Drosophila melanogaster: one gene and its partner. The protein of the gene in region 1 interacts with the protein of each later gene in a pairwise test. Each region holds a gene or a part of one and is shown on either strand. Other genes may lie near its edges.

The links.
Region 2: the proteins of CG3358 (region 1) and CG7655 interact in a two-hybrid assay, tested with the Drosophila melanogaster proteins (one large-scale study listed by BioGRID).

The regions. Positions count from the first base shown.
Region 1 is NT_033778.4:6,921,589-6,925,496, reverse strand, and holds CG3358 (uncharacterized protein), read right to left. Parts: upstream 2,132-3,908; 5' UTR 2,080-2,131; intron 2,052-2,079; exon of another isoform or gene 2,018-2,051; 5' UTR 1,992-2,017; coding exon 1,838-1,991; intron 1,618-1,837; coding exon 1,011-1,617; intron 945-1,010; coding exon 830-944; 3' UTR 568-829; downstream 1-567.
Region 2 is NT_033777.3:17,680,933-17,684,375, forward strand, and holds CG7655 (uncharacterized protein), read left to right. Parts: upstream 1-1,736; 5' UTR 1,737-1,856; coding exon 1,857-2,183; intron 2,184-2,242; coding exon 2,243-2,677; 3' UTR 2,678-2,841; downstream 2,842-3,443. Other genes in the region: CG31251 (uncharacterized protein), read right to left, coding at 2,877-3,163, 3,223-3,443.

The DNA of each region.
Region 1 (3,908 bases):
TGCTTTTAAGAACTATAACTATCTACTGCCAAGCGGAAAGGGGAACGTGGGAGATCAGTCTTCCCCAGAATATTTCGCACCGACTTAAAGTGCTATATGAACATGTTCATATCATATCATTTCCATTGGACTGAATCTTTTATTGCCATTTTAAATGCATCCCCGAGTGAATAGACATTGCCCGTCTGACAATGTTAAATACTAACAATATCATTTGTATTCATATCAGTTCATCAAACTTAGAACAAAATTCAATTTTTAGCTCCAGATTTTGGTTGTTTTACACTTTAACTTCAACGGTAAACATAAGGTAAACATATTTCCTATCCCCCGAATTCGAACCTTTTAATACCTACAAGCGTACTAATTATAGTTGATAGACTTTTTAAATATTTACAAAATATTTTGTATATAGGCTTTTCAAGGCTTCACCAATAATTGATGAATATTGGCAAACTCGTAACCAAAAACGTGGCAATAATTAAGCTATGACACTCTATTAGAGTTTAGAATAGACTCCAGAGAGATTATACAAGTTCGAGTCGAAAGAAATACATATATTTTTTTGGGCGATCCATTTTATATTCACCACATAGCAGTGCGTAATCACGAACGTTAATAAACTGAGCCATATGCAACAATTATTTACACATCTAAATGTTAATCCTAAATCCTAGTGGATCTGTGTTAACTGCAGATCGAAGAAACCAAACCAGATGTAACCTAACAAATCAAAGTTGTAATGCGTATTTTTGAATTCATTTGCATTTAGACGCGAGAAACAATAATAAAATAAATGTAAACGCATTGAATGTAAATGCATGTTGTTTTATTCTTTACTCTCTCCTGTGCCGAAGAACAAGTCCAATGTGTTTTGGTAGTATAACGCAGCCAGCTGTTCTTTAGGCTCTTGTTTGATTCCGGCAATAGACTCCAAAACTTGGCTAAAACGGAAGACAAACTGTTAGTATCGTCTGCACATTTGGGGGTAAGGTATTAACAATGAGTACCTGATTTGGCAAGGCTCACAGCGTCCGTCTATTAGGGATTCAGCTGTCCATTTCTCTTTCTTCTTGACGGTGGGAAACTTGGTGGTCACGTGCTTGTGTCCAGCATGCGAGGGTCGAATACCACACCACGGGCAGTCGGTTTCTAGCATTATCCTGTCGTTGGGTAGCTTGCGCACCACTTCTGCGTTTTCATCCGTCTTTAGGGAGCACCCATTGAAGCCTATGTAGAGACCGCCGAAGGCGAGGATGCGCTGGGCCTCCTCCAAAGTTCCTGTAAAGCTGTGCACCACTCCGCCGCCGCACTCCTCGATCTTGTTCCGATTTCTTTCCAGGATGCCCATGAAGTCCTCGGCAGCATTTCTCATGTGCAGAAAGAGAGGCAGTTTGAACTCGGCCGCTAGGTCCAGCTGCTTCTCGAAGTACAGACGCTGGGTTTCCTGGGCGCAGAAGTGCAAGCGATCGTAGTCTAGACCACATTCTCCTACGGCCCGCACCTTGGTTCGATTTGCCTTGATCCTGGATCGCAACTGGTCATAGTAGCCCTCTGGGTCTGGTACGAATTCCTCGCACCGGGTGGGATGTGTTCCCACTGTCGTGTAGATGCGCTCTGTCGAGGAAAACCACTTGTGAATTGAGAGTGTACAATAAAATCGCGGTATGGGGAGTAAGCAACATATTCGTATTACTATGAAAATTGATGGAATAAACATCAGATGCTCTTCAGAAAGTGAGTAGCTCAATCAGAAAGTAATTTAAAAGGGACGTGCAATGGGGACTCCCAATTTAAAGCACAATTTGCAAAGGGAACATCCTAAAGGTCAGCTTACCATCCTTGGAGGCCAGTTCCAGTGCCTCATCCACATCCTTCAGGCAGCCGGCGGTAACGATGACTTTCTGCAGTCCCTGTTGCCACGCGCGCTCCAAGACGATGTGCAGGTCGGGCTCGTGCTTCTGGGTTCCGCCGTAGCAGCCCTGGAACATGGGGTCCGTCAGGTTGGCCCCAATGTCTGTGGAGCATTGCCAGGTGTTAGCTAGTCAAGCCTGCAGGAGTTAATTTCTCTCAAGTTACCAATATATTTCATGGCCATTCCAAAACAACGCCGCTGCATGGATAAATGTGCTAAAAAAAACCAGCAGCTGGAAACAGCTGTTTCACTTGCGAGATTTCCGCAAGAGGGCGCCGCCTGAACGCGCTCGTGGTAACCGCCAGGTGGCGCCGCACTTCCGTTGCAATTTGAATTTGAAATTTGCATTAAGTCGTTCTAAGAACATAATTCTAAGCTCAGACGTGCCAGCAGCAAATTGGGGTTTCCCGCACTTTTCCGATCCAAGCGGAGCGCTCGGCCTAAGCCAATTTAATGCAAAATCAATGCCACAGTAAATTGCATTCTGAATTGCGCATAATGCAATCTCATTAGCAAAGCTGTTTATTGTTTGCCGCGAACGCCAAAGCGGCTGGCTCCTCGCAAGCCCCCAGATGCCCCATTCCGAAATCCAACACCACACCCCCCATATAAATATGCAAATTTCAAATCAGCAGCAGCACGGCTGCTTTAAGCCGGCAATCGGCATTTACGCAATTGCAGAATTTATGGGAATCGCAATATATAATTCGAATGAAATTCCATTAGTTACTTTTAATGGATGCTGCGGTCGGTGCTGCACTAGTTTTAATTGATTTAGTGCAAACTGCTCACTGTGCCATTTTCCAGGCTGGCAGCCGCCGGTGGGCAGGGCGATTCGGATCCGAGTGCGGATCCCGTGGTCCCATGGACCCGTAGTGCGATGCCTCGGTGCGCCGATGGAAACGGAATGCGAAACGAAACAGAATCCATTATGCAGGGGAATCAAACATTTTCAAACACCGATGCCTGGGACGCATTGTGGTTTATTTTAACTGGCTAATACAATTGTCAATAATTCAATTTGAATTGAAATTCAATTAGTTACAAGTACATGACACACATACGCACACTTAGAGAGTTAATTTGGGTTTCCCTAGACTACGTGTAGTCCATGGGCCACGATCCTTCGATTCAGTAGAGTAGGTAAGTGTAAGTGCGCTCAATCAATCGAACTACGTAGACGAATATGTTTATTTAAAATCGGGTAGGTCGGATAAGATATCGAGCATCTCGCGGTCCCTCGTCGATGGGGCGGATAGGGTGGAATCCTCCGCACCCTTGTGTTCCCATTGGTTCATGATATACGCGAGTGGCGACGACTAGTCAGCAGATTTGTTGTTAATAACTACACCTAGTAACAATGTATAAACAACGTATTACTTGTAAAACAAACATCCAAACTGTACACACAAACTTGTTTAGGTACTGACTATGTGTACTATATGTATCCGTATGTAACTGTACTGTAAGCGGTTTATAATGCCGCACATAAGTATGCATGTATAACTACAATCCTCCATGGACGAATACAATACTCAATACTATTTTGGGGCCATTCAGACGCCTCTGACATTTCCCAGGTGTTTACAGTAGCTGGAATCCATTACTGCAATCACTGGGTGCATTGTTTGCTGCATTTTTCAGCTTGCACACAGTGCCACACACACGTGTGTCTAGATGTATTTGGTTTAATCACAATTCACTTTGCATATGCCGTATTTCATCCATTTACAGATCATTTAGATATCTCCGCCGTACTCGGTACCGCCTAAATGTAGTCTTTTAAATAAATCTTATTGCTAAGCACATTCCGGTGAACAAACACAAAGGATTCTCTTATCACACACTGGCGAGCACACCCACGCACCACCCACCCAGATGCAAGTGTAACTTGTGCGAATGGATACAAGTTGCGTATTAAAAACAGATTTATCGATTATTCGCTGCCGCAAGCCTCCTGCGAACAGGATGTGCATTGTGGGCTATTTGATTT
Region 2 (3,443 bases), on another chromosome or scaffold:
GATTACATCTCTTCAAATGGAAATAAAAAAGTTATTGATCCTCGTAACTGTGTATAATTATTAAAGTCCTTATGCGAATTATAAATGTCTAGATTTGTTTCTAAAAAAAAATTGTTTTTCATAATCAACTTACATATCCTAATAACTTCTTAAAACTGAAAACTTCCAATCTATCTAAAATTTAACCGGGTTCTCCATTTTATATTATTTTTGTTCTTTCATAAAAAAATAATTTGAAATTATACTTTTACTAGCTTGCTTTCGCAGCAGCATCACTGATAACGGTGCAAGTGCTTTCCTCGCTCTCTCTGTCACCGCTGAGCGAGAGCGTACTCGCACTCATTCATTATTTTTCATCTATTTATTCATAAATGCATTTTTTGCCCCTGCTATTTTCAGCGGCTCAAGAGTTTTAATTTTAGAAAGCACTGCTCCCTACTTTTCGTCTTTTTCTCCCGTAATATTTATGCAACATGCAATGCTGCTTTATTTATCTCTGTGGGAAAGAAAGCGTGGCATGTTTTTTGCGGTGTGTGGTGTCTTCTTGTTATTCCTGCGTGGGAGCGTCAGGTTCCAAGTTCGTTTCCCTAATTTTTTCTTTTGGTCCACAGATGGAAGGTTGGTCTAAAATGTGGAGTGACTCATAAAGGCTATAAATAGGCAAATTGATATTGTCTAAAGCTGGCGGTTAATGATTATTGATTGCTGACGTAGACGTCGATAGCATTTGTTGATTGTCAATTGGTTTTCCCCGATGACGAACGATTTTTGAGTCTATGATTTATTGGACTGCAGCTGCTCTGCTCCGCTCTCTCTTTTGAGCTCTGCTCCGCTCTCGCTCCTTTGATAAGCCCGCATATGCTTATGTGTGTGTGTGTGGTGAGGTCAGCGCATCAATTATGCTCATTTCTTGTCTTTTTCTTTGATAAAATCAGCGAACAACAAATGGGAAAGGGCGGGGGCAGGGCCCCGGCCAGACGGCGGCGCCCGAGATTTTTGGCAAATCAAAGCAGTCAGCTGTCCCCTTTGCTCATAATTAAGCAATGGGGAGCAGTGAAAGTGTGTCGACTACTAATTGGCACCTTGAATAATTGCACACCGATAAATAAAGTAGTGGCTTCCTTTTTCCTCTCAAGACAAAAGGGCGTCGCACTGCACTTACACACATACATGTACACCGCTCTCCCCTTCTTATCTCCAGTCTCTATACTTCTAACGCTGATTTTCAGCCGATTTTAAGCCACTTGCAACGTCAACAATTTTCACAACATTTCACATTTACAATGCAGTCTTTCTTTTCCTTCTTCTTTTCTTTTTGTTGGAAACGCATCCGCCATTTGCAAGCCACTTGTGTATGTGTGCCGGAGCGCTGCGCCTGTTTGAGTGTGTGTGTGTGTTGGGTTGTCGCGTCGACAGTTTTTTCATCACTTTGCTTGGATTTAGATACGCTTTATCAAACCAGTTCTTACTTGCAACTGTTAAACTTTTTCTCAACTTTCTTATGCCTTTCGGCTGCGGACTTACACTTTTTCGTTAGTGGGAAAATTGAAACATTTGCAAACAGAGTGACCGTGGCGACATACTCCAAAAATCGCGCCAGTCACATAATAGTCCTAAATTTGGACAACTAGCGATGACTCAAGCCGCCGGATAAATGCGCTATGTTTTTGTAGCCGAGACACGCTACGTGGGGAGAGCGATGTTTTTATCGTGGACACAAACCAAATTGAAATTCTTCACCGAAGATTTTATCGCGACTGTGCCATGGTCGCACTGATTAGCTCACCGAAACGTTCATTGAATTTGTTTTGATTATCTCGAAATAACAAGCTATTTTCTCAATTTTCCTGACAAAAATGACATCGATTGCCAAGTCCATAGTACTATTGGCATCCCTGGCCACGTTCGCTTACTCCCTGTACGTGGTTGGCAGCCTGATGATGTTCCTTTCGACGCCTCGTTCGATTTCCAAGGCGCACACCTGGATTTTCAATTTACTGGACAACAAGTCGCGCCTGCAGACCGCCTATGGACCCGTGGTGTTCGATACCCTCTACCTGATCGGATTCATCTTCCAGCACAGCTTCCTCAAGTCAGCCGTGGTCAAGAAGCTGTTGGCCAAGTTGGGATTGTCGGGTGCGGAGCGCACTATTTATAGCCTGACGTCATCGCTTTGTTTACATGTTTGTATACCCACAAATTGGACAGAAATAGCTCCCAACTGCAACTTTGGACATTTCAGTATTTGATCGTCAACTGGCTGCCCGCTCAGTCGATTGTTCTGTGGCAAATCGATGTGGAGCAGAGTGCTCCGCTTTGGTGGACCTTCGTGATCACCCATGGCATCTGCTGGGTTGTCATCTTTGGCGGCAGTTTGGTGATGGATCTGCCAGAGCTGCTGGGCGTCAAGCAAGCCTACTACGATCTGAAGGCCTACGGACCGCCCATCAGCTACAAATCCGGGGAATTGCGCAATCTGTACGCCCATGTCAGACATCCCTCGTTTGTGGGCCTGTCGGTCATCCTGTTCGCCACGAATGTGATGAGCGTGGATCGGCTAGTCATGGCCTTGCTGCTGACCACCTACATGTACCTGGCCTGGTCCACAGATCAGAAGGATGTGGCCTATCAGAAGATTCAACTGCAGCGCAAGAAACTCGAACTGAAGGCCAAGTAAACTTAATCTCAAAAGTGTTCTTACTAAGATCTAGTTGTAAGTTGACATGAGTTTGTATTGAATAATACTTTTCTAACAATTTCAGTTTCCGAATCAGAACGAAACAAATAATGAAAAAACTAAAAGATATATAAAAATATATATGGTTCAGTTTTTACTATTTTACTACTATTGCTAGCTTAATTAATTATTTTAAAATTTAACTCATTCTTACGATAGAAGGATCAAAGGGCTGTCCTTTAAACGGCGAACCTTCGGCATCCCAGGCAGCTTTCAGGCGATCCAGGTTTATAGCTTGGTCGGGACTTGAGGTCTGAATTTCATTTTGTTGCTTGTCTGCTGCCAACTGCTGGACCCTAAGCTTTTCTATGGTGGCCTGGGTTTCCTCCGGCAAATCATCTATATAGCGTTCGCATTCAATCTTCTTGGAATCGATTTCTGGATCACCTTCGAAGAGCCGATCCCACCAGAGCTCCTTTGCTTTATCTACAGTTATATACAGTTTATGAAAATGGTTTATAAAGATGTTTTAGGTGAATGCCCACCGTAACTTATGATCAATCGGTTCTGATCAATTGTCCACACCGCCTCCTTGTGTTTAATCCGCTGGCTCAGGTTTCCCTCGAGGATGATCGTCTCTGGGCTATGCTTGCTGCTCACTTTGATGTGCTGGGCCTGAATTGAAATGTGCAGCTTCTTCGCCGTTTGATGATCCTTGGGAAGCAGAGCCTGCACCTCCACATCCTTGAGGGTTTGTGACCAGCAG